Linked DNA regions of Drosophila melanogaster. The protein of the gene in region 3 interacts with the protein of the main gene of each other region in a pairwise test. Each region holds a gene or a part of one and is shown on either strand. Other genes may lie near its edges.

The links.
Region 1: the proteins of CrebA (region 3) and croc interact in a two-hybrid assay, tested with the Drosophila melanogaster proteins (one large-scale study listed by BioGRID).
Region 2: the proteins of CrebA (region 3) and Jig interact in a two-hybrid assay, tested with the Drosophila melanogaster proteins (one large-scale study listed by BioGRID).
Region 4: the proteins of CrebA (region 3) and CG31955 interact in a two-hybrid assay, tested with the Drosophila melanogaster proteins (one large-scale study listed by BioGRID).

The regions. Positions count from the first base shown.
Region 1 is NT_037436.4:21,471,296-21,480,455, forward strand, and holds croc (crocodile), read right to left. Parts: upstream 5,185-9,160; 5' UTR 4,900-5,184; coding exon 3,373-4,899; 3' UTR 2,838-3,372; downstream 1-2,837. UniProt on the Drosophila melanogaster protein: Required for the establishment of head structures.
Region 2 is NT_033777.3:14,557,221-14,564,579, reverse strand, and holds Jig (Jig), read right to left. Parts: upstream 3,646-7,359; 5' UTR 3,599-3,645; coding exon 3,122-3,598; 3' UTR 3,059-3,121; downstream 1-3,058. Other genes in the region: CG8087 (uncharacterized protein), read left to right, coding at 1-226; CG14851 (uncharacterized protein), read right to left, coding at 1,760-2,218; CG14854 (uncharacterized protein), read left to right, coding at 4,533-4,589, 4,646-4,684, 4,790-4,878, 4,944-5,319.
Region 3 is NT_037436.4:15,531,436-15,540,794, reverse strand, and holds the start of CrebA (Cyclic-AMP response element binding protein A), read right to left. Parts: upstream 5,401-9,359; 5' UTR 4,394-5,400; coding exon 4,340-4,393; intron 1-4,339. UniProt on the Drosophila melanogaster protein: Transcriptional activator. Binds to fat body-specific enhancers of alcohol dehydrogenase (ADH) and yolk protein genes. BBF-2 may play a role in fat body gene expression. It binds the consensus sequence 5'-T[AC]NACGTAN[TG]C-3'.
Region 4 is NT_033779.5:3,711,381-3,719,116, reverse strand, and holds CG31955 (uncharacterized protein), read left to right. Parts: upstream 1-6,250; 5' UTR 6,251-6,334; coding exon 6,335-6,619; intron 6,620-6,671; coding exon 6,672-6,848; 3' UTR 6,849-6,891; exon of another isoform or gene 6,892-6,963; intron 6,964-7,048; 3' UTR 7,049-7,236; downstream 7,237-7,736. Other genes in the region: lectin-24A, read left to right, coding at 1,389-2,237; CG2818 (uncharacterized protein), read right to left, coding at 2,609-2,728, 2,814-2,960, 3,013-4,470, 4,626-5,024; cutlet, read left to right, coding at 7,499-7,736.

The DNA.
Region 1 (9,160 bases), 5.9 Mb from region 3:
GCATTTTCTCGCTGTAAAAACGCACGGAAACTGTGTTCATTAATTTGTGTGCCTTTTTTCCCACACCCAATTACAAATGTCATCCGCCAAGTGGGTGCTGCAAGTGAGTATGGTTATTAAACCGGCCAGATATGAATTTACTTTAGAGCCATTGTCTATTATGGCCTGGTTAATTGCGGCGACAGCTGGCAAAACAACGCCAAACCGTGCAAGAACAACAACATCATCATCATCACCATCGCCATCATTGAAAAAGCGAAGTTGTTGTCACCGCGGCAATTGAGCGTCGACCACTGGAATTTATTGTTATAACGGGGCAATGATAACAGGTCATCAACACAACTGGCCAGGTAAATAAATATCAAGGGGGTCAGGGGTTGTATAGGAAACATACACACACAAACATACATAGGTGTGAATGGTGGAGGGAGGTGGCGCTGAAAAGTCCGAAAAATAGGCAGCGTTAATTACAAAGGATCTCCCGCGGGGCCAAGTCATAGTCGTAGAATAGATACATTGTAACCGGTGGATACGAAAATCCTTGTGACTGCAGCACATTTGGCAGCTGGCCGGCTAATACTTGCATTTAATTAGGCTTGCAACAATATTTATGTAAATCGGGCTGGTTGCGCGATGAGCCACAGAGACAGCTGTCAATATTTGTGAGCGGCACGAACGACAACCATTCCGAAAACCATTCCGCCCGTTTTAGCTCGATTGGATTATTGGGCATTTGGCATTGTTGTCCTGCGAGTTTCCCTGCCTGTGTGTGTGCGTATCGGTGTGTGTGTGTGTGTGTGTGTGTGTATGTGGGCGCGTCCTTATCGCTAAGCAAACAGTGCAACATTTTGTCGCCATCGCATTTATTTTTCTTGTCCTCCGCCTGGCGTTGCGCTACAGAGGATTCCCTATTCCCTATTCCCGATTCCCGAATCCCAATTCCGATTCAGTTTTGTAAATTCTGGACCACCCGCGCAATCAGCGACGGCTGCACTCCAAGCAAACATACAGCCACTTTTCCATCCAGACTCTTTTTGTTTTCGCATTTAATTTTGTTGCTTTTCACACCGAATGGAGACTCCGGATGGCATCGAATGGCAGTTTTGCTGTCAACCGCCCAGCCGACTGTATTTGCTGCCAAAAGTGCTGAATTTGCATACCAAACTCGTTCCCCTACCGATCAGCCAAATATTCAGATTGAAAATATTGAGCTTTTGGATACGAATAGCCTAGTTTATTGAGATAGGAGATGCCCCTTTTTGGCTGCCAGTATTTGGGGATATGTGAACATTCTAATCCATTCCAATAATTAAATGTAAATAATAATATTAATGATCAAGAATTTAAACATTTTTCGGTACGCTACAAATCCTTTTCTTTCATCTCTTAAATGTAGTTTGCTTTTAATGGTGGTTCCAACTATAAATATTTTTTGTTACATTTTCCAGTTTGAATTGGCAGATACAACCAATATCGCTGCCCATTTGATTTTGAAAATTTCAACCATCTGACCAAAAATCAAGCCCTTCATGCTCAGTGGAGTCTTCCATTCGAAGATTACTTTCAGGCCTACTACAGTCTTTGGCACACTTTTGGCTGGCACTCGAGCGCCATTCACATGCCACCCAGCCAGGTATTCCATTGTTGGGGCTACGAACAGCTAGCCAAACCTATTGACTGACTGGCGTTCGAGCGGTGTCCGCCATTGAAAGCAGCCGTCCCAGCTGCGAAGCACCTGAGCGGAGATTGGGCCACAAATCGAGAGCCATACAGATACACACATGACCAGATTTCTTCCCCGAGTGCGATCTCAATGCCGCGGTGGCGCCAAGCGGCGCTCACTCAAGTGACAATGTCGTCGAGCAGCCTTTATTGGAATAAATCCAAAGCCGAGTTCCGAGACGAGACCATGACCAGCTGCCCATCGTCATCGCCAAGTTAACAGCGTATTTTGGCCATCAATCAGTGGCGCTTCATCTGCCGATCTTTGGCGTTGGTTGGGTAACTGGTTACTTCGCTGGCTAATAAGCTCAACATACTGATTTATTCGCACTCACTCACGCTGCGCAGGCTGGTGTTTTACTTTCTACCAATTTGTGGCAATTGTCTGGCAATTAGGAGCAGCTACAGTGTTCCCTGTGGGGGCACAGTTTTCTTAACTAAAGATTTGTAATTTGTTGGCCATTGTTGGACGGCAACCTTAGAGAAAGCTAACATTTTCGTTTATAAATGACACTTTTAGGGGGGAATAATAATATAATTCTTCTGGATACAATACGATCTTGTCAGTTGCCATAAAGTGGCTTAAAGGATCCTCAATTTCAAGTTTTTAAGCAGAAAGAAGCTCAGACTACACAATCTAACAGTGAATATAATATTATAAATACTAAAGTTACCCTTTTTTGTAAATACCTTTCGATAGCTAGTCGTGCATATGAAGCATACAATTTCCTGGAAATTTTCATTTATTATTCCAAAAGGTCGAATGCATAATTATTTCCACTGAAAGGGGGGAAGTGTTTTCTATCCGATCGCTTGACAAACGACATATGTCCACGTTTGCAAGTCCATCGGAACTGCAGCCAACTGATCGAGTGAGTCCAAATGATATGATACGGCTACCCAGAAAGCCATCTTCCAGTGACAATTGGCCAGTTGAGTCATGCATTCGGGGCTCGAAACGGACACGCCTTGAATAATTATTTATCTAGGAATTCTGCGTGCGGGCTATCCAGTTTCGGGGTAAAAAGTCTGTTTTGCCAGCCAAATGCTCAATGGCCAGATGGAATAGCGAAAGTCGCTCCGAATATGAAGGGGCCAAATAAAACACACGATTTGAGATATTTTAACATATTTTCAATACACTTTTTGTTCGGCTCATATTGGTGGTACGCTAGTTTTGATAGTTATGTTATAGCTACGATTTAGTTGTATAATTTATTATTGCTTACGTGGGCTAGGCTAGTGTACTAGGCGATGATAGATCGATCCGATGCGGTAGTTTTAGTTATTGACAAAATGCTCTAATTTAAGTTTATGTTCTGTGTAGCAAAACCCCATCACAAATTGCGTAGCAGACAATTGGGACTATGCCTAAATTCGATAACAATTACGAGCTACAATTACAAATACAGTTAATACAATACAATACGTTAATGCGGTTGCTTAACAGCTATGTCCCCCATTATTTCGTATACGGATAAATCGAAAACAAGTTGGAAACAAAAAGATCTGAGATAGCAGACTCTGGACCCCGAGGGATCACCACCCCCAGGCTGTGTAGACTCGTTCTTGGGTATATTATATGGTGTATGTATTTACAGGAATATACAAGAGAGCCCAGCCCAGTCGCCGAGAATCCAGCCCACAGGCTTACACCCCGTACTTGATGCCGTACTCCTGGTAGTGGCCCACATGCGGTCGGTAGTGGCTCAGATTGCTCAGCTGACCCAGCTGGCCCAGGTTCCCGCTAAGCGCCGCATGGTGATGATGGTGGTGGTGGTGGCTACTGATCACCGCCGCCGCTGCTGCCGCTGATGCCGCTGCCACGGATGCGGAGGCAGGTGGACTGGCGGATTGTAGGCTGCCGGTGGGACTACCGGTGTCCAGTTGGCAGGATTGGTTCTGCTCGAAGATCATGTCGCGGAAACCCAGTGCCGATGTGGGACTGCTGGTCAGCACGCTGGAGGATCCTCCACCGCCACCGCCGCCGCCTCCGCCACCGTTGCCCACTCCATTGTGGTTGAGTACGCTGCTGCTGTTGTTGTTATTATGTCCCGGGTGGGTGGGTGTGCCCTGCTGCCCATTGTGAGGAACGGGTTCCGATGGTGGCGTTTCCGGGGTATACCAACCCCCGTGCGCGGGACCATGCGGAGTTGAGATCGTGGTGGGCGAGTGTCCGGACGATTGGCCTCCCGCTCCTTGGCCGCCGGGGGTCAGAGGATGGGCCACGTGCGCCACATGACGCTGCAGTTGCTGGGCATGATGGGCCGCCGCAGCGTGGTGGACATGATGCATCTGACTGCTGGCCACCGTGGCCAAGTTGTCCTCGTTCAAGTGGTAGGGATAGGCGCTGTGATGGATCCGCGGGTTGTACACATTCATGAGTGAGTCCACGGTGAAGCCGGGATGCTCCACTCCGCCGCCAGCCAAGTGGTTCATTTGGGCCAAGCTGTCGTGGCAGGAGTTGAGCATTGCGGCATGGGAGACCTCCTTGCCACTTAGACAACCCAAGTCCATTAGGGGCTCCTTTTTGAAGTGGGCAGCATGGGCGGCCATGTGCTTGGCCTCCAGTATGCCGTTGGTCATCAGCTTGAGGGGCTTCATCTCGGCCAGCTTCTCGTTCATCATGGCCTGCCGCTTGATGGCCTCCTCCTTCTCCCGCATCACATCCTTCTTCTTGAAGCGGCGACGCCGGCGAAGGAAGGAGCCGTTGTCGAACATGTTGTAGGAGTCCGGATCCAGAGTCCAGTAGGAGCCCTTGCCGGGCTTCTTGTCATCGCGGGCCACCTTCACGAAGCACTCGTTGAGGCTAAGATTGTGCCGAATGGAGTTCTGCCAGCCCTGCTTGTTGTCGCGATAGTAGGGAAATCGCTCCATGATGTACTGATAGATCCCGTTCAGGGTCACCTTCTTGTCCGCCGCATTCTGGATGGCCATGGCTATCAGGGCGATGTACGAGTAAGGTGGCTTTACAATCTCCTTGTTCTGGTGCGGGGCACCCAGGCCGTAGGCGCTGGCCGAGTACGGATAGCGGGAGTACTGGTCGTATGCGTAATGTGCCGCTGCTGCAGCGGAGGCGCTGCTGGCCGCCGCCACCGCGGATGCGGATCCGTAACCGGCTGCGGTCTGGGCATAGTGGCGCGTAAAGGAGTTCTGGTCGCTGAATAACGTATGCATGGCGGCGATTCCGGCGGATTTCTGATCGATTTTCCACTGCCGCCTTCTGGTATTTTCGTACTCTCTTGCTTTTGTCTTGCTTTCTTTCTCGAACTTAATCACTTCACCACTGGCTGCTTCTTATTATTTCTAGCGATAATATTTGCTTAAACAAGTCGCTCACATAAGTGCAGATATATAAATCTATATATATATATATATATATATGCATCTATTTGTAGTACAGGGGAAATGGGAGCGCAGAGCGAGCGCAGAACCGTTCGGTATAGTAACACGTCTGATACTGAATCTGTGTAACTGAAATAACACACAGCTCGCATCGAGCAGAAGCGTTTGCGTCGGCAGAGCGTCGCCCGCACCAGAAAGTATCTCGATCCGCTGCCGCACAGTATCTGTGTGTACCCGCACAATGTATCCGTATCTGCATGTGTATCTGCAGCCAACCAACGATGGCTGCCACTCGCAGTCAGTAAGTGAAGTGGGCCCGCAAACACAGCTGCGTCGAAAGTATCTGTGTGTGGCCAAGAGAAAGAGAGAGAGAGAGAGAGAGAGAGAGAGAGAGCGGACGCCATTCATGCTTTCTTTTTTGTATAGGAAAAAATAGTTAGCTAGCTACGGTGTGTGTCCTGTGGGCACTCCTCCCCTACCCGTCGCTTTTCCAAGCCCTTGTTTTTGTTGTTTAAACTAATGCTTAAAATACGGCCTATCGCCCTCTCTCTCTCTCCCTCTCTCTCTCTCACTTCCGCTCTCGCTCGCTCCCTCTATCTCGCATTCATGATATACTAGATACAATGGTAGTAAGAGCGAGCGAGAACCACATCAACTATGAGAGGCACCTGGGAAAGCCAACAGCACAGGCACAAGTGGGTGGAGGTGGTGGTGAACCAGGGGCTGCAAACGAGCCAACCACCCACTTAACTCACCCTTCCAATGACTTCGGCATAAATTAGTGATAAAGTTCTTTCGATCTCAGCTTAAAGTTGTTCGTCTTCTCGGGAGAGGCAGAGACCAAAAAGTTGCCTGCTAATTTGCAGTTTGATGGGTTTTCGCCAAGATGTTCAAGTTAAGGGCCACGTTTGAAGGTTGTTTTCGTTGAGGGCAAGGCATTAAGTTTTTAGCAACTCCCTTTTTCGGGCGCTTGAATTGACAATGGTTTTTTTGGTGTGCAAAGGGCAGGAATTTTTCAGGCTTATTTAAGGTAAGAATTTCAAGAATACTCAGGATATTAGACAAACATGTTTTCCACAGTTTTTCAAGAACTATTGTATCACCCTATATATAGGATCCTTATATAATAAAGATTCATTAAATTGTTGTTCATGTTAAAATGTCCTAAAAAAGAAAACCGAAATTTTTCTAATATCTAAAATGTATCTAATATCAAAAAGAATGAATATATATATGTAGAAAACTTTTCCCTTCTGCAATATTATTATGAAGCGAGTTATTTATTTAAAAATTGCTCTATTGGCGTGATTAGTTTAAATCAGAGATAATAATAATTGAACAGTTAATACAAGTAGAGTTTTGTACCATAAATTTATAACATATTAAAATTGCACTTGTTTTTATGTTATCTCCTATCCGCCTTTTGACTTGATACTCATTCACTCCACATTTCCAAACATCGAAAGGGTTACTAACCAATTTACAAGCCAAATAACGATAGAGTCAAACATAAAAAGTCCTTCGGCCTCGTCCTTCCCTCTCGCGACTCCTCTGCTCGTTGAGTCCTGCAGTGTCGTTTTTTTCGCAGACTTCATTTCTATTTTCTGCTTATTAAAACAATATTTTTTATTGACTTTGTCAGCTTTAAAGTAAATTTCATATGTTTATTTGGGCAAGGGCAAGTGTGCGTGTGGATGTGAGTGTGTGTACGCGAGAGGCCGAATGGGATGGGCTGGGTGTTTGTCTGGTTATTAGACACAGGGAAAACAAACACGCACATATTTATATTTGGATAATTTAAAAGTATGCTGACTATTTTTTATTTGTACTTTCCGTGGCTGTCTGCAAAAACCGAGCGCTTTGCATCACTTTAAAACCCCAATCGTCTGGGTAATTGATACAAGAATAATATTTGGCTCTATTAACGCAATCGCATTATTTTGACAAATATTTTTATTGTTTTAACATAATTTTTCGCATGCGATCTGTCGGAGAGGATGAGGCTATGAATCATCGTCATGTGTGTGTCCAGTTGGCCACATATCCTTTGCAGGATGCGAAAGGATGAGAGTCCTGCATTTGAAATTCGAATGAGGCGACTCCGCCGCCGTATGCTCCATTTTACGCACTTTATTTGGCTTCCTTCTGGTTTCGTTCCATATTTTTTTCATTTTTTCCTCTCGAGTTTCAGGATTGCTGCTGCTGATTTAACAAATTTCGTCTTCGACATCGGCGCCGTGATTGCGATTGTATGGGTTTCGCTGTGGGTGTGAGCAGTTTTTTGTGAGTAACTGTCTACTGGCTACGTCTGTGCATTTAGCGCAGTTCATGTTATTCTTACGTAGTTGCCATTGCCTGTCTGTCCGATTCCCCCATCCCCCATCCTGCACAGCTACAGCTGTCCGTATCCGTACTGCTCTGCCACTCCATCGTATCTGTATCTGTATCTATATCTGCAGCCATCCCACTGCATTTGACCTATCTAAATATTGATTTAGTTTCCCAAAACTGCAACTTAACATTTTCTCCGCGAATGCAGTGAAAGCTGAAAGCTGCTTTTATCTCGAATGTAAAAGTTGTTTACTAGAAAATAATGCAGTTTTGTGAAAAATGGTCGTTATTACGTGATATATTCCTAACATATCTTATAGATATAGAATGACCTTGGTCTTGTCCCTTTCAATAATTAAAAACGCGAATCTGCATAGCCCTATGAAAAATACTATCTTTCGTTAATCGATTATGACTCCGAAATATGCCTTAATTACCCAATTAAAATGATCATTAAACACAAATCGCAGTTCTATCAACTTTAGGCCTTGATGGGCGCCTATTTGACAAGCACAAAATTTGTCAATTTGGCAAGCACATTTGCCGTACTGAAATGACAACCCCCCCATAATTTTGGCAAGTGGAAAGCGAGTTTTGGTAGATGTGTCTCGCCCATTTGCCACGCTCAATTTGCTGCAGTCAACGGAACGTTGACACCGCTGTTGACAAGGAGAAGCATTTGCAGAATGAGGAGCAGCCGGCGAAGAAACGAGTGCCAACATGTGGCCGTTCAGTGCCCATTATTAAATTTTAGCAATGCCCTTTTTGGGCAGAACTCTTTCTTCTCTTTTTTTCGGGTGAGTAATCCAAGAATAATATTGATTTTAAAGTGCAGGGGAGTGCAACTAATCAGACACTTGAACCAAGGACTTAAGCAGCCAAAAAAAAATACAATTTTTTTTCGTTGGGAAGGACAGGAAAGGAAATGCAGGAAAAATGCTGATAAAGCGGTTTCGATCTTTGAAATAAGCGTCACTCACACGCACGCAGAGAGTAAAGTAACGCACACAGATACACGTCGACACACAGATACACGCATACGAACGCACGCTCCGCTGCTCTCTCTCATGAATATGCAACAATTTCTCTTTCTCTCTGCCAATATGAGACAGGCGGCACACAAATACACTCGCAAAAACGACTGCGCAGAATTGAGAAGGGGGCGTGGCCAGCTGTGGAAAGGGATGCAGCGATGGCGTTGCCTACAGTTCGCTCTCTCCCTCGCACACTGCAGTTTCCGGTGGCCACAAAACTTGTAGATACTTCAACCCGCACCCCCTCGACTTGTTTTGCGTTTTGGTTTTTTTGGGGTGGTTCCAGAGTTATGGTTCGGAGTCTATATTGGCCACTCATTAAAATTTATGATTCGTACACAGTTGCGGGCTTATTATGCATATATTCTCCAATTTTTTTTCCGCGACTGCTCTCTTTGGCCAGACAATTTAGCAGATTAGTTGCAGACAAACACACGCGCGTTCCCAGGAAGGGGCTGGGAAATATCCGCCATTAGCTTAATCATAAGCGTAATCATGGCGAAAATCTTCCGGTCATAAGCAGCGGAAATTCAGCAGACGGCGCTAAGTCTGGACTCTGGACTCCGGAATCTGGAGTCGAGTATTCGGAGTCCGGGTCCGGGTCCGGGTCCGGATCCGGATTCCTACCTGGCCAACACCGGATGCCAAATGCTAATCATGGATGCTTAGGCATTGATCGTTCCAAAGAGGGGAAACTTTTTAGGCATGTTTAGACTTTAATGCGCGCC
Region 2 (7,359 bases), on a different chromosome or scaffold from region 3:
CACAACATCAGCGACGGCGACCACCACTGCGGCCTCCAGCACAAACACTTCCTCCGGACGGCGAAAGATCGTGCGCATCACCAATCTGCGCTACACCAACGTTCGGCGCATCCGCGTCAACCGGAATGGATCGGGGAGCACCACCGTCCGGAATCGGAGGCGCAGGAACAACTCCAGACGTGTCAACGTGAGGCGGGCCAATGGAAACGTTATTGTTGTCGGCTAAGTACGCGGAATTCAATAAAATGCTCAACAAGATATGGATTTGAAGAAGTAAATTTTATTTTATATCCAATTTTCTGGGAAGTATTCAATTTTTGGCTGGGTATAACAGGGATTTAGCTTCTAACAAAATCTTACCAATTTTAAAATGCGTTATGTTACAGAGAAATTTCCAGTGCATATAGAGCATTTAAAATTATAGACGGTACATTTGGGTACGTTATAATATTAAGGAGTTATTGACGATTTCTTCACCTTAACCCAATGAAATAACACATCACACATACAGAACTTTGAACTTTATTGAGCAGGGGAAACCAAAAATTTAAAAACATTAAAAAAAAACTATAAAAACTTTTTAAAAATTGGTAATTTAACTATTATATAACTCTGTTGTCTTACAAATAGAAGGTCAAGATAGGTATTATTTTGTAGAAACAGTGTTATGAAAGTTAAGAAAAACGGTAACATTGGGTTTAAATGTATTTACCTGTTGGAGAAGTAGATAATGCTCTCTTCTAATAACAAAGCTTTATAGCCAAAAAAAAAAATGTAAGACCATATTTTTCTAAATTCTCATCAAACAACAGGAGAAAACAATGCAAAAAGTCGAAACAGCTGTGTCAATAATTCGATTTAATTGATATGCTATATGATATATATATATATATTATATATATACATATATAATGTCGATGCTAACACTTAAATCAACTACATTGCAAGAGTAGCTTTGATCTTCTATTCTGGAGTCTTGATCCTGGCAGCTTGCCTGCTGGAAAGCATCTTAGCGGTCCCACCGTCGTGGGATGCATCGACTGCACCATGATGCATGACCTTCTCCACCAACAACGTGGAAGGCTTAGCCGAGGGATTCAGCTCCAAAGTCGTTTGAATCGCGAATCCCTTGAACTCGGAATGCGTGGCTGGTGGTACCACTTTGAAGTCCCCCACCGCAAATGGTGGTCAGTGAACGTTTCCCTGGAAAAAGGTCAAGTGTTGTTCATTTTCAAATAGATTACAGCTTTGATTGTTAAATAAAATTCTGCGCTATTTCTGAAAGATCCCTTTTTATTCCAAACTGCCCTTCCTAGAAGGTTTTCTTGAGTTGGTATTTAATTTTTGTGATTTTGTGTTGATCTTTTAGTAGTGCTTAATCGTAGAACTGTTCAAGGCAAGACATATAGCATACTTTTTGGATGACGCTTTTTGACTCAACTTGAATTACCCATTATTTTAGTAGATCAGACGTCGACTTGTAAATTTGAAATAAGAGATATTATTAAATTAAAAGATCAGTTTATCATTGGTTCTTATAAAAATATAATTTTTTATTTATATCATCATGAAATATCTACATATGTATATATCTTTATTCAAATAGGAAAACAACCATTTCAATTGTAATTTTATTTTAATAAAATCTAATCACTCGATTGGGTTTCTCAGTTTTACAATAATAGACAAACGTTTGATTTAATTTTCAAATATATTTATTTGATAAACAGTTTTACAATTGTAAACATTCTAACCATTTTTAACCAACTACTACGCGAACGTTTCCGCGACTGCTCCTGGAGTTGCCTTGCCTGGCGTTGTTATTCCTGCGCCTGCGGTTCCTGTTGGTGTTGGTGGAGCGCCTGCCAGAGCGGCCGTTGGAGCTGGTGGATCGAGCGGTGGTGTTGATCCGAATGCGACGGTTGACGGAGTAGCGCAGGTTGCTAACGCGGACGATCTTTCGGCTTCCGGTTCCGGTTCCGCTTGATGTCGTTGGCGCAGTGGTGGTGGTCGCAACGGTGCTCGTTGCTGGAGCCACTGTGGTTGTGGTGGATGTGGCGGCGGCTGCCTCAGCCACGCACTCGGAATCGGTTGGATTGGTGGTGCAGTTGATGCATCCAGTGACGGTGGGGTCGGCGGTGCAGGTCACCGCCTCGCTGCTCCTCAATAGGCAGGCTGCCAGGACGAGAATGGCGAAGATGATAGTTGCTGCTCTCATAGTGGATTTGTTGATTGGGGATTGTTGATTGATGGTGATGTCGGATTTTGGTTAGGCTTTTATAGTGGCTTGATCGAGGTCAAGGGGCGCTCTTCCTATCTAGCGATTTTCGCTAATATGTACGCAGCTGTTTCTATACGATCATATAAAATATTAGACATTGTTTGCTGCCAAATCGTAAACTATCGGCTGTGAATCCAAGTTGAGAAATGAACTAGTTTCACCTATTTACTCAAGAATAGAAAATGAGTATATTTTAATTTATCTGATTGAAGCCTGGTTTGACTTGTATTCATATATGATAAAACTCTCATCAGTTCGAAATATACATGACTTAAAATTTGTCAAAAATGGTGAATTTTTTCCTAAGTGTATGTATGTTATTAGAAATGGATGACTTCTTCTTTAATATTTGCCTTGTACACTATTTGCTATTGAATGTGTACCCACAAGATGATCAATGCCATCTGTGGATAGTTTTTTGCTTTTCGGTTGAAGGTTGTGTTTGTTTGTTGTACAATACAATTAGTTTAAATGGTTTCAAAATTATTTTAGAATAGAAATAGACTTGAACTTATTTGTGAAATAGATTTTCTTTATACATAAAACAAATGATTTTATCAAAATAAAGTTTTAATTATTATGTATTTCTGAGGTGAAACTATTAACTACCCAATAAAAATTTTTTCAAAGAGATATACTTCACGTTGTCGTTAAAGTACCAATTAGAAGAGATATTTTTAATTTTTGTAATAATATTTTTTCTCCTTTGTTTGAAGACAATATACTTATTTCTACACAGCGAACTCTTAAAAATTTGTTCAAACTATTTTTGTTGTTGGATGCTGAATATAGGTTTTATTTAGTATTTTTTTTTAAATTTTATAAAATCGAATGTTGGCTTTAGCCCGATTGGTTTTGCCTCCTGCGCCTTTGGGCCCTCCTCCTCCTCTGGTCCCTCCTCCTTTGTGCACGCCTCCTCCTTTGAGCGCGCCTCCTGGCCGCCATCCTCCTCCTCCTTCTGGCCACAGCAGCCGCGTTGTTTGAAGTGGGTGTGGAGTCGCTGGGCGACGTGGAGTCACTAGGTGAGCTGGTCGGAGCTGGAGTGACAGTGCCGCTTGGCGAAGTAGGCGTTGTAGATCCCGCCGGGGTCGCATCGGTGCTTCCTCCTGTGGTGGGTGTCGTGGTATCTGTTCCATCTGCGGGTTTCGTAGTGGTATTAGCGGCCTCAGCCACGCACTCCGGATCGCTTGGACTGGTGGTGCAGTCGATGCATCCAGTGACATTGGGGTCGGCGGTGCAGGTCACCGCCTCGCTACTCCTCAATAGGCAAGCGACCAGGACAAGAACTCCTGATAAGATGATCGATGTGGCCCTCATTTTCAGATTGATGGTGTCTTCGGATGGTAGCACGGTCTTATATACCGCTGTGATGATTCCAGGTGACTTATAAAACCAAAGAATATATGCAAATTTACCCAACTGGTGCTATCAAATGATTGTTTTTTTTTGATATCTATTGTATCTATATAATTGTACAAGAAGATGATAGCTAACCAATTGTCATCTGCTGGTGGGGACTTTTGTTGGAAATATATACTTGTTCAATACGTTTATCTTATACAAATAATTGCCAAATTTATTCAGCTGTTCCTATCGACTTTTGGCTTATTTCTCCGAATTCTTCACTCAGAACTTACCCTGATCGGCGTAGTTATTAAAGTTATTAAAGGTACATCACAGGGATGTCCCATCTTCAGAGTCCATTAAATATCTCAATCATTTGGGATTGTTAAGTGCGGCGGATGCAAGTCCATAAATAGTTAATATGCTATTTGTTTAGGTACAATAATCCCCTGTTTTAGATTCATGGCTTTTATGGCATAAATCCAAAGGTTTTCTTTTTATAATACATAATTGAATGCTAGTTTATGCAGCTTTCCATTTGCCAGGCACAAAATAAAGGCAGATATTAATGCAGAAAACTACCAGGCAGAAAGTTAATAGCAGTATTTTGCACTTTAAGCTCGCACTGGGTTAATTTCCCTTATTTGCGGGTATCAAAATTTTATTTGAGTACAAAATATGTTTAAATTTTAGATTCGCGTGTAAGATTTACTTTATGACTTCCCAATTGTTTGGTTGTTTTGTTTTATTTTATAATTATCATGACGTCACATCTTACATCCAAGCGAAGCGAGAACAATGAGCGTGAATATTTTAAATTCATATTTCGCAATTTAACGTAGATGCGCTGACCAGCTCTGATTTTTCAGTTAGTTTCGCTTTTAGCTGATCAGCGAACGGTTGAGCCATGGATTTGTTTAGCTCTCTGCTGCTGTGCCTGGGAATTATTTCATTACCCAATGTGGTAAGTACTTTGTGTAAATTGTTTTTGCACCCTATAATTTTTTAATGCATTTTTAGTTTACGATTTGCATTCCGCCCAATCACTGCATTGAAGATGTGAGTATGATACTGGTCTATTTAAAAACACAATTTAACTTGAACTAACACAATCTATAGTTGCTAGTCCTCCTGATTAAACACACTTTATTTTCTGTTCCACAGATGGAGGAAAGCGATGCGAAAGAGCGATTCGACTATGTACTTGGCAAATATGAGGAGGTGGAAATGAATATTCCCGGAAAACCAGTTGGGTGAGATGAACTTTAGCGCGTGTTTGGTGTTCCACTAATTGGCTTTTCATTTCCACCGCCGGCAGTTTGTATGGGAAAGTGGTTACGCATGGCGAGGCGGAGGAGCAGCACTTGGTGTTCCAGTACATGGACAATACGCTGCATGACATCATCCAGACGTGTGCGTTTGTGGTCAAGCGGAATCCCGGTGAGTGCGAGAACATCCGCACCTACTGCTCGGCCTTTCTGAGCCGCCTGCCACGCCCCCTGCTGGAGCGCAAGCCCATCAACGTGTGTGACGATGGGACGCGAGTGGCGGAGGACGAGCCGGAAACGGAAGCGGAAGACAATCCGGATGCAGATGCTGAGGGGGAGACTGATCCGCAGCAGGAGCAGGGAGTTGGTCAAGCGGAGACCACAACAGCGGAGCCGGCTAGCTCCAAATTAAGTGAATTTTATTGAGTGGGGTGCAATGTCATCCGGCGGTTTGTTCATTCATCTCGACATTTAAAAGACAATTAAACGCACAATTGTAAAATAAGTGCATAAGTAAGTGCAATTGAGATTAATTTTCTTTAACATTCAATTATCCGTTTTAAATATCTCAACTCTTATAAATTTTCACGTATTTTTATGTTTTAAGTATTTAAAAACTAAATTATACAAATAAACGAGTAATGCAATTTGTACGTTGCGTATACGACTTGTTGGCTTGCTGTAGATGGGGTTGATAATGTTTATTATAAATTAATGAGCTTTACAGAGAAAGTGCACTCTTTTTAAAAAAGTAAAACCATCTGATTTATATCATCGGAGAACTTGTAAACTAAGTATTACTCATATTTGACTACAAGTCAAACAAACAGCGCCTAAAATTATGCTTACTTCCAATGTCTACTAACATTTCCCCTTGGCTACTCAATGTCACGGCTTCCCCAGATTGAGTTAGGAAGCTCTGACAGCAACAACTATGCGGCTTTTAGTTCAACAACTGACGGCCAAAAGACTAGACCAGGCCAAGTCCGGCGCCTGCGCCGATCCCACGCTGCACAGTGGGCATATTACGGCAAAAATACAAAAATCAAGTTATTCAATTAAAATTGTTCTCCACCTATTACAAACTTTTTAAAGCTATATGGATCAAACCGCAGACAGATTGCAAACAAAAATAAAATTTATTGACAACTAAATATTTTACACGTATTCAATACAAAATACTGTATAGTAACTAACTAGCACTTAGTACTTAGTACTTTACTACCGAAAACTTAAAAAAACGCCAACATTGGATATTAAGCCACTGTACTCAATGCTGACAGAGAAAACTCTCTTTCCGACAGAAAGAGAGCGAGAGGCTTGTGCCAAATAACAGTAAACAAAGCCCAGCTGCTGCTGCTGGCGGTATAAATTCGGTTTTCAGTTGTTAACGGGGCGCCAAGGCGAACTGGAGCAGCGAAATCGGAGCACCGGAGCAGGAACAAAAGCTCCAAAACGCTGCACACCCACAAAAATTTCGGAGAAGCATAGAGAAAGACCGAGCCAGAGAGATTGCTGGGCAGGCGGTGAGAGCACCTTAGTAGAGAGTTAGAGAGAGATTCTCCCCGAGATAGATTGTTATTTGTGTTTGGCGACAGTGACGGTCCGGTCCCGTGCCGCACAGAATTATCTGCTCAGTGCTAAAGTTGTACTCGTGCTGCGTAGCTCGTGCGGGCAAGGCCGTTTCTCGACACGCCCGCCCACCCACCGCCCCGCGCGCCCTCTGCCACGCCCCCAGCAGCTGGGAGCAGCAGCTGCTTTTCAGTAGTGAAGTGCGTGCGCGTTTCGCGGCAAACGGAATTGCCGCCGGTTGTAAAACAGTCACAGGATAAAATCGAAATCAGTTCAGTTCGACTCAACCCGCTTTTTGCATAATCCAAAACGTAATTCGAAGGGCGAAACTAAAAATGTATAGCGGCGCGTAAATATACTATTTGCTATTTACTTTGCCGTGCAATTTCCAGTCTGAATCGCAGCCCACCCCCCCGTTTATCAACGAAGCGCCAGTCGAGCCGTGTTATCAGCAAACGAAGCGCGACAAAAAACACAGAAAAACGTACTACAAAAAAAAAAAAAATAATAATAAAAATAAAATAGAAAGAAACAGCACAAAGTATATGGGAAACCAAAGTGAAAAGAAAATGCATTTGAGTGCGTGAGAGTGTGTGTGCTTAGGTGAGTATTAGCCGTACGATTGTGTGTGTTCGAGGGCCTCCGGCTCAGCTGAGTGCTGAGTAAACAAACAAAAACCAACCGAAGCCAAACACAGACCCCAGCACAAATACCACCGCAAATACCACCGCCACCAGCTAAATATATGGGAGCCCTCATCCACCCACACACTCGCACGCAATTATTAGCGTTCCCCAAATCCCCCAGAAATGTGCGAATTATGAAATATTTTACCCTTGAATGTCATACGTATTAGAATTAGCGGCGTGGGGACCAGCGAGCGTTACTTTTTAG
Region 3 (9,359 bases):
GCTGGAGCGAGCTAAATTTGCAATAGTCGTCGCTGGGTTTCTTTGCATTCGCTTTGTGCTTTAACCTGTTTTGCAGATTGCAACGCTCCGGCTCATTGGAAATGTCAAAGTTAAGCAATACACAATACGCTGTACAGCGTATAGCCGAACAACGCGGCGTATACGCGATATACGAGATATACAGACGACTGATAGACCATATTGAAAGTATCTAACGTGCATAGCTCGAACTAGTTATTCAAATATGCTCCCGAGAGTCAAGACATTAAGCTATCGAAGTTAACAAAATGCCGACACAGCCTGTTGCCAAGCACGTTTTTCTGATTTCCGTTTCTTGACGCTGGAGTTTGGTAGTATTCTCGTGTGCATTTTAAGTAGCGGGCCTTGCATTTGGCCGTTAGAAAATCTCAGTCTAACCTCAACGAAATGCACATTTGCATTCGACGGCCAGGCAACAGGCCATATTATATAGAGTGTATAGACCATAAAGGGTATCGAATTGGGCGAAAAGAAATTGCTAATACCATTATGCATGCCCCGCGCCCCCGCCACCTTTTACTTTTTTTTCTTTTTGTATATTTTGCTTATATAAGCGAAAGTTGGCACACAAAAAAGAATAGCTCTAGAAATGTCAGATATATACATATATTTGCCTTTTTCGCTTGTATCTCAATGGAAGTGGTGAAAAGTTGCTGACTTCTGGTCTTCTTGTTAATGCTGCACTTTTTCCCTCTGTTTCGGTCTTTAACTCTTAACCTCTCTCTTTCCGTTTTGACCAACAAATAAAATTTCGGTAAGTCGATGATTTTCGACATTGGTCAGCATTCTTCTCTGAAGGCGAATGCAATTTATTTTGTTCAAGGCAATCTTTTCCGGCAGTCTACTGTTTCGATTGCAGAGCTTCTTCTTGTTCGAGGCCAGCTCTGTGACGATCTTGAGAACTTCTAGTTCGAAACTTAGCTTTGTTTTCGCTTTCTTTCGAGACACAACCCTTTCTCACATACTAGCCTATATAAGTGCGCGAATTCTACTTAGCTATTGAGAAGATAAGCTCGTTTCTAAGTCCGCATTAATTAGGCATTCTGTTTCCATGTGCTTGCTACTCTTATCAACGAAATGTGAAAATTTCAGCAGTAATTTTAGCGCTGAACAGAAACAATTTGATTTTATATTTTCTTATCATGACTGGACCACAATCAAAAGTCGTTAAGCTGAAACATTGATATTTTTATTCGCACTGGAAACGCTTTGTTTGGCCTCATAAACTGTATTCTTCGTAAATTGAATAACCAGTTACACAGAGATCATCGTAAGTATTGTTGTTGGTTTTTCCACCGCCAATCGATTTTCACAGAATTCCCCCGATCGGCGAATATATGTTTATATTGTATGCGTCTGTTTTTCTAGAGCTTTACAGATTCTGCTGTGTCAACTCTTCATTGCTCCCAACTGATACGGATAGTCAGGGGAACCACTCAAAGATCTCTGAATGAAATGGTAGGGGATTTCTTGATAACACCGATCGGAATCTCGGAAATGCAGGGCACGTGACATTATCGCTCTCTACTGGTCTCTCTGAAGACGAGCTAACCCCAACTGGGACTTTCCAATTTGTGGCCTTTCGGAAACCTCTTGCCAATTTAATATAATTGATTATCGACCCGTCAAGTCATTATTTTGAGTTTTTTGTTTTGGTTTAACGAAAGAACATAAAATCCCATGGCATCATAATTATTATTTATTTATTTTTATTTTTGTCAACAGTTTAAGTGAAAAATGGTGCGCTAAGGCTAATCAAAATTGGGCATTTCAGGCCTTATCTGGGCGCAAGTTTACTTTTTTTTTTTTTGCTTTATTTTTTTGGTTACAAAATACGGTGAGATAAGATTGTTGATATGCTTGAAGAGACTTTAGAATGATAGTTTATATTATTAAAATAATGCCAAAATAGAATACTGATAGGCTCGAGCTAACAAAACAAACGCTTTTGGATGTGATCTTTCAAGGAATTCAGCTATCTAGCCATGGATGATATCTAACCGCGATCTTGATCTTACTTCCCAGACCATTTGGAGGGTATTACGGCGGCGACTTCCCACAGAAACCGATAATTTCTTGTTATGGGCACACACAGGCATTTGAGATACTTATGAGGTAATTGAGCGCACGCCCCGGGTACGGGTACATTGTACCGCTTACGGCGGGAAAAAACGCAATGCAACAAAACCAATAAAAACTGCACGCGCATTTTCCCGGGCATTGGGCCTATTTCTGTCCCTCCGGCTACATTGTCTACAAGTCGAGTAGTCGCCGGCGCGCATTTATTATCTCCCAATAGTAATGACACTGACGAGCCATACTCTATTTGACTAGCTGCAAAGTGCAGCAGCAGCAGCAGCAGGCAGGCAGGCAGGCGAAAAAAGTCATTACTTTGCATTTAGACCAGCTGATAGCAGCCTCTTATCAACTCCACATGTGTCCTCCTCCCAAACTGTAATAGATTCTTTTCTTTTGTGCTCGCCCAGCAGAGCTTCCTCTACACAGCGCGCAAAAGTTGAGAGCGAAAATTTATGAAACATATTATACAAATTTATCGTTATAAAGAAAGCGACAGAAATTTTAAATTACGTTGAAATGTATTACAATTTTTTTGTTGTATTGAATCCGTTGCTTTTTAAAGCTAATTTTTATCAAAGTGAAAAACATTTTATTTATTTATACTTGAACCCGGACCATTTCTAAGAAAAAATCACTAAGTACGAAAAAAAACGACGTTATTAATTGAAACTGATACAATTATTGTAAGTATCTACTAAATTTGATTTTGATCTGTTTTTTTTTTTTACCGTGTACAACAGCAAGAACAAGTGAAACGGACGGACTTGGGCTGAATGGACGGGCGGACGACATGTATTCATTACTGTTTCCGCAGCGATAAGCAATAGACGACGGCATCTCCATCTATGAGTACTCCGCAAATGAAGCTCAGCCCGGCACATACTCATTTCATTATATTGAAACAATTCACGATTGCAGTACGACGAGTAGTTCAAGTTGCGGGGGTGATAGTGAATGGAACTACGACGACAAAACAACCGAAACAGAAATCGTTCGCTAATGATAAATTTCTTTTAATTTCTTGGAAAACTTCAATTATCATTATCGCCACCCAAGACAAAACAACTTTGTAGGACAGCGAAACTTCTAAGTTATGAACAGAAATGTTTCCTGAATGCCAGATATAGTCGCAGTCGCTTATCAAAAAAAACCATGTAAATTGATATATTCGAACACAAAAAGTCACTAAAAATTGTCTTTCTCCCAAAACGAGCACGTAACTGCCAAGATAAAAAGCCTTGAAAGCTGCCTTTTCCTTTCGGCACTAGAGGGTTTGTTTGATTCGGTCGTATCGGTCGTATCTATTTGGCAAAGTTTTTTTTTTTTTGTTTTTCTATTGAGTAATGCCATTGGGTTCGGCAATCCAAGAACGTCCTCCACGAAAATGAAACCAAAACTGTGATTCTGGGTGTGTTGTATATTACGGTGTCTGATGTCTGGAAGCCGGGCAGTTCGATTAGATTCTGGTTTGTTTTTTTCACTATACGGTTATTTTTTTTTTTTTTACATTCGAAATTTTGGTGGTGCGGTGAGCGGACATTTTTATGAGGTGGCTTGGGACAGGTTTGATCGTAGGCCAGTTTGTCGGTGATCGGTATTCTCTCAGGTGATCGCATACATATACATATAAATGCGAACCACTTAATATGCAGAGAAAGAAAAGAAAACTGGCTAAATTCCGTGGGACCCTGGAGATCGAAATTCGTTTCTTCATTTTCCTTTTCTCAAATCGATCATCATACTTAGAATTCAGCTCATGAATAAGTTCACGTTTTTTCTCCCCAACTGATAAGCTTAATGTGGGTCATTAAAGTGTTTTTCTTTAGATTTTTTAAAATGCAATTTCGTTTCGTGGAAGCACGACTCTTGCATGTTTAAAATGTACACCGAAATGACTTAATAATCGTATTGAAGATGTCTCTGTAGTCAAAGATCGAAGTTCAAGGAGTTCACCAAGTTTAGTTGGGGCATTGCCACATAAAATTTAGTGAGCTATAATATACATATAAGAGCTACCAATGTATATCTCGGACATTTTCTTATCGTTGCGTTCGAGTTGTCGGCTTTAACTTTCACATACTCGTATAGCCCATATCAAGCATACCTGCTGTAATAAAAGCTCTCAAGTATCAATGGTTCTGTTCTGACTGATATAATATGGGGGTACAAGTTGCTTTTCGCATTTTTAATTGTGCTCGGGAGTGGTAATTTGAACACTTACCGGATCTAAGTCGGAGTCCCATATATCTTTGAGGTCGCCATCGTAGAATTCCATGGTTGGCGCTAGTCAGATGCGCTCTAAGAACTCTTTTAGTTGTTTTTTTTTTATTGCGGTTCGGGGATGGTGTGGTATGGTTTAATTCGGTTCCACTCGGTTGCAGTCACACTAATTTTTCTACTTTAACCCACTTAAGAACTGTCTTCTTATAATTTTTGTAGTTTATGGTATTATACTATTATTTTTATACGATTTTGCTGACTGAAAAGTGGCTCTTTCTCCGCTCTTTCTCTTTCTTTATACTTTATCTTCTTTATTCCTCGTGCGCTCTTCTACCTCTCTTTCTCTTTTATTTTTTACTTTACTTTTTTTCCGTAAAGAACAGTTCTGGGTGATGACTGTTGGTTGCTTCTTTATAACACTTATTAAGGGGAAACCTGTTGCTTCCAGAGAATGTTTTCACTTGACATTGTTATAGTCTGCGTGTGTGTGTGTGTGTGTGACTTTTTCGTTTGTATGTGTATACCGGGCATTCATTCGTATTGGTTGTGGTATTTGGGGTGTATCTGTGTACGGATCTAACTTGGTTTACAACTGTCGGCTGGATTTAACTTGTTGCATGCGCTTTTCTCGTCGGATTATATTTGGCGTTAACATTAATTGAATTATTAACTTTTTTCCCGATTCGGAAACGAAACACTCGATTTTCATAGAAAATAGTTATTATATGTATGTTTAGATTCAACGTTGATAACCATATAATTTTAGTTTATTTGATTTTTCTTTTCGCTGTACTGTGTTTTGGACTCGATTACGATTTCAATTGATTTAATTGAATTTTTTGATGTGTTTTGTGTGTGAATGGGCAGTAAACCGCTTTAGAAATGGCTTTGCTCGGCCCGTGTATAATAGCATTTAATATGTGTAGTTAATATCGTTAACTTTAGCAATAATATTTGTATGTTTGGATGTATGGGATGGTAGCACACAATTAGAATAAACTGTCCGTAGTGCGACTGCAGCCAAAAACGGTACTAAACTAAATGTCGGTGAAATTCTTGTGAATGCGAACGAACGAATCGAAACGTCAGTCCTCTGCTGACGTCGCTGCCGCCGCTCAGTCGCTCTCTTTTCCGCTACAACGCTTTGTCTCTCTTCCGCACGTATAGCGCTCTCTTTCCGTCTATCTCTTTGTCTCTCTCTCTCTGCGCTTATAATGCCGGCAATTTCAGAATTTCATACAGAAAACCTCGAACAATTGATACTTTTGTAATAAAAAAAATAACAAATTTAAATTAAGGATATGATGAATTGATGTTTCCTCATTAAAATGAGAAGAGAAAAGGTACAATAAATGGCCTAAATATACTCTTTCAATTTGAAAAGATCGCTACAAAATAACATCGTATTTCTAATATCCTGTGTTAATAGTGTTATTGATTCGTTAATCTACGGGAAACGTTTGGGGTTGTTGCTTTTCGTTCCCAAAGGTCAACTAATCACATACCTTATGTTACATTTGCTATAGTTTAATTGAATTTATTGACTTCTTAACGTGTTTGGGGTAGTTGTAACTGAAGACTGAAGCCGTGTACTATACATTTCAAATATTGTATTCCCATGGTTCTTGGCCACCAATCTACCCTTGATACTGTGTAACATGCGGGTTAGCCGGCATCGAATCCGAATCCAAATGCGATAGTATCCGACTCTCTCCCGAAAAGCGTGCTCTTAGTGAAACTTTCACGCTCTTTGGGGTTTCGAGAAGTGAATGTAAGTTGATTGTCGTAAGCCGGCTTTGACGTCGTTTTGAGACCGGAGATCGGAGACCAGGGGCCCGAGATTTGAGATTTGAGACCCGGAGCCGCATAGGAAAGGAAAACAAGTTTCTTCCGACGCTATGGGCTGCGTCGACGTCAGCGTTGCGGCAACATTTGTTAACCTGTTTTTTATTATAGATTTTGTGTTGTTGCTGCGAGTATTTGATTTGGCCCGAATGCACGATGGAATAGGACGGGGGGTGTACCCCGCTCTGCAACCAGACCCGACTTTGGCTGCTGCCGCTTGGTAACACTCGCTCCGTTGATCTTGTCAACTTGACCAAGTTATTTGAACTATGCACATGTGCAGACCATAGAGAGTCGGGCCATTCCAACACAGGCGGGCCAAGCCGAGTCATTTGAAGGCTGTTTGCCGGAGCTGGGAGCCAAGAGTTTTGTTCGGAGATCTTTGAGAGCCAGAGCCTATGGATATGGATATGGCTGTGGGGATCTTTGGGGCCTGGCCTGGACTTATGCTGCTGCTGCTGTCGCTGCTGTTGCTGCTGCTGCTGCTGCAATGCTGCGACGACGGCGACGACGCAAAGTGAATGTACTTTCAAACCAAAGATCCGGTTTAAAGCTGCCCGGGCAACAGATACAGCGCAGACAAACGACGATGACAACGGCGATGTTTTCACAAAAACGCTTGTGTAATACATATGGAGAGGCATAGGTATATGACTATAGCTCCGTGCTCCGTGCACGTCATGTATACCCCCGCTGAAAATATACACACAGCTCTCGGCCACTAATTTCTTGTTTGTTGACGTGATTTTATTGTATTCATTTAAAAATTTCAAATTTGAAAATCCCCAATATGGCTTACACCACATAGTAAATTGGCTGGGCCAACAAGACGCCTCTGAGAGGGATCAGATCATTGGTGCGCCCTTCTTTTTCGTCGCTGAGTACATTGATTTCTCCTTTCGTTTGGTCGTAGTGGATTTCCCTGAATTATGACACAGATATTTGTGCGCTGTATTCGATATAGAGAAGAGCGTTTTGTTCGCACTCACTTCCAAAAACATTTCGTTACACTTTCTAATTGGGAAAAAGGTTAAGATGATCTTGTCAAAGTTGATCGATTCCATGGCTTCACATCAATTGACTCTCGGTGTCAATTTAAGAGGTTTATGGTAAATTTGCAAGGGTAGCCTTTCCCTTCTTGTTTCAAAATTTTGTGTATATACGCGCACATACTTGAATCACAATCCCATCAACAACATCATCAATGTGCATTGTGAGTGTATAAACAGCCCCATGAATCGACTAAGTGTGCGAGTGTTTTGTATTTTACACGGAGAGAAAGAGGACATTATTGATAATTTTACTTAACATCAAGATCGAAAGATCTGAAAGCTTAATGTACAGTTTGTAGTTTTGATAACAAATATATATGAATTAATAAAAAAGATTGTGAGCCAGGGTGGGATTTGAGCTCGGACAACATGCCTATATTGATTGTCGAATCGTTTCCGTTAGTAAATAACTTCACTTTATTCACTTTTTATTCACTTTATGGAAATAAAATATTTTTTTAAATTAGATTATTATATTAGATTTTTAAATTCAAAGTAGTGTGATCAGATCAGTCCTATTCTATTATGCAGCTTGGTGTAGAGTTGAACTTCGTTTCAAATGTCAAAGTAATATTCAAAATCTAGTTCTATCTATTCGATCGTGTTATTTCAAAATAATATTACCTGTAGATCCACGTCTTTTTGGCTGTGAAGATTTCTTGTTTATTTTAAATGATGATATCATTGCGATTTAGATAAGCTTCTGTTTTCCTTGCTGTTTAATAGCGTTGAATGTTTGAATGGTTAATATGATGTTTTTTTAAATATGATTTTTGTTTGTGCACTTTAAATCCCTTTTTTTTCAAGTGTACATTAAATTTCATTTACCAGTCGCGAGACTGTGTGTAATAATTCGTCATGCTGGCCGCATTTGAACCCGCATAGCTCGCTGCCGCAGTCTGCGTCTCTGGCCTCTGGTGCTTGGTGTTCACTGTTCGGGGTTTCTTCTCGAGCCGGGCCGGGCCGGGCCATTCCCAATGTTTTTCGTACCCCGAGCCCAACCCCAACACCGCCCCTAATTTGCAAGGCAGCGAGATAATGCGCGCCTCTCTTAACTGTTCTCTTAGTTTGCTTGCCGGATTCGATCGCTCTCTGCGGCTTCAAGTGGATTTTACAGTTATATAGTATATATAGAAAGAGATATTGTATCTTATGGGTTATGGCTGGCACAAATACTTTTCGCCACCGACGACAACGCTTTTTCGTGCATTTTTCTTTATTCTCTTTTAATATTATATATATATATTTTATTTGATTTGTGAATCACGGCAAACAGACAGTTGAGTTGTGGATAAATGGGTGTGTTTTTGCGGGAAAATTAGAGATACAGCTCAGTTGGTGCTGGAAGATGTATGTAGGTGTCTGTTTGTCCGCTTTTCCCCCGCCTGTTTATCTGCCGTAATATTTTAATTTGCACTCGAGATTTCTTTTAGAATATAATTTAGCGTTATGCCAGAAAATTGTGATTAGATTCCTTCGCTGTCATGCCGCTGGGGTTGATAATTTACTAACTTCCTCCTATGAATGAATGTTTGTTATTGCGGGTTCCTGTTATCATTCTAGATTTGCCCCAACGAACACATAAAGACTATAAATATCTGCTACCACGGCTTAGAGCCGTACAATATTTTAATTTCGAGGATTTTAAAGGCTCTGTCTAATAATCTTTAAGAGGAATGCTAGTTCCACACTAAACATACATATGTGTATGCTGATAAGGATTTCCCTTGCAGGACACAAAGGACCGCTTATCGCGTTGGTAAAATGAGTCACTCCATATCGACTCTTATGCTGTGCCTTTCTTTCCCAGCGGGTCACAACATTTTCTTATCGCTAATTATATTTAGCATAAATTTCCATGTGTAGGGAAACCGATGCCTAAGAGACCGATAAATCCATGCGACATGAAACTTTTACCTCGAATTGAATTTCGCTTTCATGTTGATAAGTTTAATTTATTCTTCGCATTGAACAAAATTCTCTTGTTTAATGATATGCTATTATTAGCGGCACGTATGAAAAAGCAGCTGTGCCTGTGGCTTTTGTGTGTTCCTCGGAAAAATACTAGGAAAATGCATAAAAACATATGCCATGGCATCTAAAAATATGTGCTCGTGTTTAGCT
Region 4 (7,736 bases), on a different chromosome or scaffold from region 3:
TGGTGCACATATATGTACGTATATATTTAGCCGCATTATTTATTCACTTCTAATGAGCGGGGGCCAACTTGTAAGCTCCCCTAGAAAACACACAATTTTTGGCCACAACCAGAAGTATTTAAAATGGGTTTCGGCATTTTTCTTCCCACCAACGATATTTTTTTAACCGACTTTCCTTCCACCAGAAAGAACATTACACGCAAGTAAAGTAGTTAGAAGGTGGCTTAACTGCCTCCTGTGGGGAAAAGCTGGGGAAATGGGGGGTGGCGAAGGGAAATGGAAATGGAAGGGGTGGTGCACACACAGTAGGTCAGGAGTGTTTTGTAAGTAGCGTGTTTTTGTTGTGGTATGAAGTTGCCTGCCTCGGTTAACTTGGCGTATACTTGATATACACACACACAGCAGGACATACACGTGTGTGTTGTTGTCGCGCACGCATCGATTTTTCCGTTTTTGGTGTATCACAAACTTCCTTATTGTCCGCCACCGCAGGATCGACTTTAAAGGCTGATGTTAAGTAGAACTCCTCAACCTGCCCCGATATATACCCCATAGTCATTCGCCGTGGAAGAAAACCATATTCATATCCATATCCCTGTCCCGCCTTCTCAAATTTCTCACCCATTCTCACCTATTCTCTCATCCTGCGGCCTCGTTGCGCTCTGCCCATAAACATAGTTCCGATACTGGGGATTTTGGGGAGTCTGGTCGCAGGAAAAGTCGGAAAATCACAGGAAATCCAATGTTTCGGGCTTGGTGAAAATTGCGGAAAAGGGGTAAACTAAATCGAGGACTATTTCACTACTACACTACACTCGTTCGCCTTGTGGGGGCGCCTCCTTCCACTATTTTTCTTTCTTTCCGGGGAGTTGGCCGTCCGATCTCTTCGAGCGCGCGCGTTCCGAACCGTTCGAGGCGATTTAACAAACTGAAAAGGAATCCGAACAAACCGAACCAACACCGATGAAATTTTCATGCTCTCTCTGTGGAGGGATGTTGATTTGTTTTTCATCTCAGAATCGAGTGCATGCGCAGTGTCACTCTTCCATTTTTCATTTTCTTTTGCTCTGACATTCACTTGAGTATGGCGCCAATGTGCAACACTGCGTATGAGTGATGTAGAAAGCCTTTTCAAATTTCATATTTAAAGAATTATTTAAAAAATTACTTTTAATTCGTTTTGATAATATTTAAGTAATTCACAATATTGTATACATAGCAACTATTTTTTACTGAATAGTTTTTTAAGTAGAAACACAAGACTGAAGAAAATAAAGCAATCAAGTAATTGATAAGCGCCTATAGAAACGTATAAAAGCAGAAAACTCAGTCCATTTATGTAGTACTACAAAGCTGTTGATATTAAACGCATCTAAATAAATAAAATCATGTTTAGATTGTCAGTCTTAGTTCTGAACTTACTCCTTGTTAGCCATGAATTCTCGGCAGGAACCGCGAAAATTGAAATTCAGCCATTACCTGCCCTATGCAACGGATACTGCTTCCCCACCCTGAAGCCAGTTATGGAGTATGTTGCTATCCACCAGGACAAATGGAATACTTGTACGGAAATATTAGCGAACGAAGCCCGCAAGGATCAGATCCAGTTGAATATCCAGCTGGATGCCTTGAAAGCAGACGTTTCCAACATAAAGGCATCGCAGCTGTCAAAGGATGAGAAGCTGGACAGGATGGAGCGAGAGCAGTTTGCCATGCATGAATCTTTGGAGACCATCAATCGGTATCTTACAGTGAAACTGGACAGAACGAAATTGCAGCTTGAGGCGATCAAAAACACAATGGATTATATGAAGGCCCAAATGGATGGCTATTTCTCAGCCATAAATGGAGTTCAATGCCTACAGCCAGGATTTGAGAAGATAGGCGATAGATATTTTTACATCGAAGAAGATGTTGAGCTAAATTGGCTGGATGCTCAGGCCAAATGTCGTCGAATGGGAGGTCACCTAGCCTCTATAAAAACTAAACAGGAGTTTGACGCAATCGTAGAGAAGCTCGATGATTCGAAATCATACTTCCTGGGCGTCAACGAAAACACAAAAACCGGTGACTTTGTGTCTGCAGCCTCCGGAAAAAGTTGTTTGTATCACGAGTGGGGTCCTGGTGAACCCCATCACAATAATGACCAAGAGCGATGCGTTTCAATCTTGCGAAAACTCATGCATGTGGGCAATTGTACTTATGAAAAAAGATTCATATGCCAGTATGGCATCTAGCCAGTTAAAAACCAAAAAAAATCAAATCATTGTGCATTTTGAAGATTTTGAAAATAAAACAAACACTTTCCATTGTTTGTAAAAGTTGTATTTTTAAAGATTGCTGGGAACGTAAGTACTGAAGTACAGAGCAGTTTTGTTGAAATAGGAAACGATAAAGAGACACTTAAAGGTTCCTACGTTGGTCGGACAAATTTTAAGTAACTTGTAATAAGCCTATTTATAAAAATCAAATGCAATTAGCTAAGTGGCGAAATGAAGAAATGATAATGACCGATTTAATAATCTGATGAGTTTTGGTCCAAGCCGGGCGGTTATTTTCGTACATAAAGATGAGTATAAAATAGTCGAGCAGTTCCGATATTCAAATTCTATGCCTGCTGCTCCTCGTTTCCGTCGGCAGAGGTGTGCCACACATGCCCCATTTCCAGGGCCTGCAACTTGAGCAGTTCCTTTTGGCTGTCCTTGGCCTGAAGGTGGAACACACTTTGCTGGGGGGAGATACAAGTAAATGGAGTACAAAGTTAATGATAGCATATATTAATGCTTTGTTTGGCAATTAATTCAAGGACTCACCTTGACCTCCTTGGTGGTCAGGACATCCATTTTGTCGTAGATGATGGCGTGCAGGCCGAGTTCCTTTAACAGCTTGATGGTATCCTTGGAGTTGTTATCGTCGCCCCAACAAAACAGCACCAATCCACGCTCCTTGGCCAGATTCACCTAAAAGCGTCCGTAGCTGAATGATTCACGATTCGAGAGTGGATCATGTTACCTGACTGGGATCTCGCAGCAGGTCCTCCGTGTGTGCCACAACACCCAGGAACTCCATGGCCACCGCGTGCCACACGGCCAGCTCCATGGAGTTGCCCCTGGGGTCCATATACTTCTGGTATTTCGTCGTCCTGCCGAGAGTTAGGAACATGACAGGGTATCGATTTTGCTTGAATCTCAGAATAGTGCAGATATCTGGATCAAAACAACTCAGTACTATCCTGCGATTCCCTGCCTTTCGTAGGATGACATCCAATATGCAATCGATATAGAGATTTCTGTCCACCACATGCTCGAATTCCTCCTCCATTTTGCCGTCCTCTAGCCTCTGAGACCACTTAATTTCTATGTTGAAACCCACATGGACATCTAGGGCATCCAGGACATCGCATAGCTGCGGAAACGGCTGGTGCTCTAAACAATCATCGTTGTGAAACGAACGCGTCTCCCTGGACAGACCCTCAGCAATGTGATAGACTTTCAATTTCTTCAACTGCTCCAGGGACAACTCCCTCATCGGTAGAGCGAGGAAATCGTGCTCCTGCAGACTGCACTTCGACTTTAGTGAAACATAGATCATGAAATCGTGATACACCACTGGCACCAGATCCTTGCTAAGTTGGACATCGAACTCCACCATGTCGGCACCATGCTCTGCGGCATTCTTCAAAGAAGTAATGGTATTCTCCCGAATAACAGCGTCCTTGGCCTTGAAACTAGTTCCGGAACCACGATGGCCCACATCCAGTCCCGTCCACTTGCTGTTCCAGTATCGGGCATAGCTGACACTCATATCCATTAGAGCACACAGCGATGAGGGCTTCACGATAAGATAACCAAGACGCATCATTCCCAGAGGTCGATGGCCCTTGGCACAGGTTATGGGCAGCTCCAAGTTGCCTTCAGAACGTTTAAAAAGATTGGGCAGCACATAATGATAGCCCAAGTGGTTCGGTGGACCATCTTCCTTGGCCACCCGGGAGCTGTAGCTGTACAAATCAATCAGGTAGGCCGTGTTCTCGAAGTCTCCAACGGTCAGATGGAATATAACCAAATCGGTGGGTCCACAGCCGGTGCCGAACTGCTCTTGACTTCTGATTTCGCACTCGTCGGCACTCAAGGTGACGACCTCGCTAAAGGCAAAGGCTGTGGAGGATTCACCGCCGTTCTCCTTGGTATCATGAGTGTCGTTCGACAAGGAATCCTCCATGGGAGACGAGGGCAGCATGGTATCACAGCCGGCACTGGGAATACTCAGGTTCATGGGCGTCACTTTGACCTGGATATGCCTACGTTTCATGCGCTGCTTAAACGTGAACGGAGCATAAAAGAACTTTAGCTGCACCAGAGTCTCCTTGGTCAGCCAGCCCCGATCCACCTTCTCCTGGCCATTGAACGAGCCAAATATGTCACTCTGATTCTTGGCAGGCTGCTCATCCAACTCCTTGACTATTCGGGGCTGTAAGGAAAGGGAATCTCTTAGCAATGTTATTGGGCTAGCTCCAAACCATGAATCCCATACGAGTGCATACAAATCAAATCCGATCCCAGGTCCAGCTGGATTTTTGGACTCTACTCGTATAGGGTCGGTCAGTACATAATGAATTTGTGAACCTGTAATTGCGTTTCCCAACGGCGGACAATCAGCTGCTCCGTGCCGGGATCGACGGCACAGACCATATAGCGATATTCCGTGTCACAGTGACGCGGAATATAGATCTCTCCTGTCCACAGATTACTATACTCATTGTCCTCCTCATTTTTGGACAAAATAGCCGCTCCCGAGTGCTGCCAGTTGCCCAGCGCCTCGCAATTACCCACTATGGCCAACTGCTCGTTGGGCGCCAGATCCTGGTTCATCAGCACCCGAAAGGTCCACAGTCTGTTGGTGGTAATGTCGCCAAAGATCCGGCGGGACTCCAATCGACTGCCGTTTTCCGAGGACGCAGGACAGGATGATGGCGCAGCCATCGCATCCTCATCGCCGTTATGTGAGGCCAGCCAGTTGTGCATTCTGTGGGGATGGATAATAATTAATATCTATATATAATCCTTAGCTATATACACTTTGAATAATAGTAGTTAGCAGCAAAGAACTAAACTAATTGTTGAAACTCAGTATAATTGTATTGTATTGCATGCGCACAAGTAATTTATGCCAACTCTCTCTTTTTTTCGAGTACTACTGTGCTCGTTAGCGTATACGCACTGTACTTCAATTATTTTCAGCTGCGGTCACAAGTTGTTTATTGTATCGAGCGCAAGTAATTCGAAGATATTAACACAACATTAATTTCACTTGCAGTCCGCAATTGTTTTTGGTTTCCCTTATCAGTGGATGACGTAAATAAATAACTTGTATCACTTACTTTGCGTTGTTGTGTGCTGAAATAGAAGAATAAGCCGAAATCGCTTTGTTTGGATTCGATTTCTCGCTCTCCTCCACTTTCTCTCTCTTTGATTTTCCTAGATTTTCTGTGATTTTCCTACGCGTACACGAAACTATAACAAACGTGTGCAAATTGAGGAGTCGCCCGATTTTTTGATCATAGCAGCTGTTTTTGGTTTTTGCTCACGGATTTCAGCTAACAACACATGATGTTTTTCTCTTTTCGTGGCGGGGGGGCTTAACTCTATAATGTGGATATAACTTTATATTATCTGAACGATTTCAGCGCCGCAGGGGCTTCCGATCCCCTTGAAACTGTGAGTTGCATTATTTTGTTATCTATATATCCACTGACCGATTCTAGCGAGGGATGTGAAAAGTATTTGAATGTCAAGATATCGATAGGTTTTTGATGAAGTAAATATTTTCACAATGCTAAATGCCTAAAGCACTTAAAAATAGTAGATGCCTTTTTAGATATATACTACATACTACTTACTTACACGCACTTAAAATACAAGTTTTATATTTGATATTTGAGCGCATTCTCACAGGTTGGCAACGCGAACAGCTGATTTTTAGGGTGACCGTCTTCCGCAACAGAGTATCTCACAGTTTTCGAAAAGTATCTCAGCAATTTAGGCAAAGTTTCTGAACTTTCAGTTACTACTTAATAAAAAGTTTGTTGGTTGTTTACCTAGCTCAAGAGATTCTTTCAGATTTAATTTAATAAAACCGGTAGCTTAGGATTATAAAATTAACTTTGACTTTATTTAATGTCCCTCCCGCGCGAATGCAGCTTAGTAAAAATGAGTCATAGTGTTCAGATCTGCCTACATTCCAGAAGCTTGCAGTATTCAGTAGACATCAGTCGAGCGCAGAAGCTCTTCGTGATAAGACGTCTTCAATTCAAATTTTTTTTATCGAACACACCATGGAGGGGGACAAGGTAGTTTTTCATAGTTCTGATCTACCATACGAATATTTATACGACGACGAAAAACACGTTTCGCACATGCCGGATTCCAAATTAAGTGTACGAAATATTTTGGATTCAGCTTACGCTTCTGCTGAAGGCAAAATTATAACTAGGAAACTTTCGCGCAGCATTCCGCCGTATCCGCATGCTGTTCGAGTAAAAAATGGCATTCGTGTTTATGAATACAGTGAGCCCAGAAAACAGAGCTACAAATCAAGTTTATGGAAGGAGGCCTACAATGTGAGTAGGAATCGAAGAACACATGCTGGACATTTTACTTGCTTTATTTCAGATACTCCACCAGCGGTTGGATATTGCCGAGCCAATCGCAGCAAAGGAACACGTGAGAACGCAGATACATCCGTGTCTGCACAAGATCAAAGGACTTCTAGATCCGGAAACCTGCATCAAGTGTCCGCGGTGTCATAAGTCCATTTCGTCCACCAAAGTTGTGAAAAGCTTTGCATAGTGACGAATGCAAGCCACCTTCAACATATATATCTATTATAGAGGTTCAATATATGCTCAAATCAACACATGCATTTATATATATATATAATATAAACAAAGAATGCAACAGCCCTACAGATGAATCGTCATTTTCTTCTGTCATTTTGCTAGCTGTAATTAAAAGGGAACGGGAAATGTGCTCTCGCTTACTGATTATAGATAATGACTTTGATTTTGAAATAAGGAATGCAAAGAATACTCATTTTCGTATTCACTTCCATTTTGGCGGACTTTCTTTATCAGTAAACAAAGTGGAAGAAGAAGAAACGAGAAAGGTAAACAAGTCAATACAAAACAGTTGTTTGGAAAATGTGCCATAGTTACCAAGTGCCTGCACCAATTTTAATATCAAAACCAATTATTGAAACTAGTTATATAAGTATTTTTATTTACATTCAATGCATTTATAAATAAAATAAATCAAATAATTTAAGCTTACTAAATCAATCAGCTTGTGACAGCCATCACTTTGATAACGATAGTTGGCAACTCTGCCATCGAACAGCTGTTAATGTTTGCCATTTTGGCGCGAAAATACCAGTGTAACAATTTGTTTATATATAATAGGATTTTATTAAGTTGTTTGTTGGACGCTCGTTTGAAACCAGTATGGATCAGTATCCGGACGAAAACGAGGAGTTCGAGCTGCAATACCAAGACGAACTAGAGCTGCTGGAGGACTTGCCGGACGAGTTTAACGCGTACGATGGACCGAGCACATCCAAACAGGCCGCTGAAAAGCAAAAGGAAAACAGAGCTCCCGTTGCGGCACTAAGAGATAGCACCCGTCTTGGAAACTCTACACTGGGATCGCCACAGCTGTCGCAGATTACCTTTGGAGCTAGCC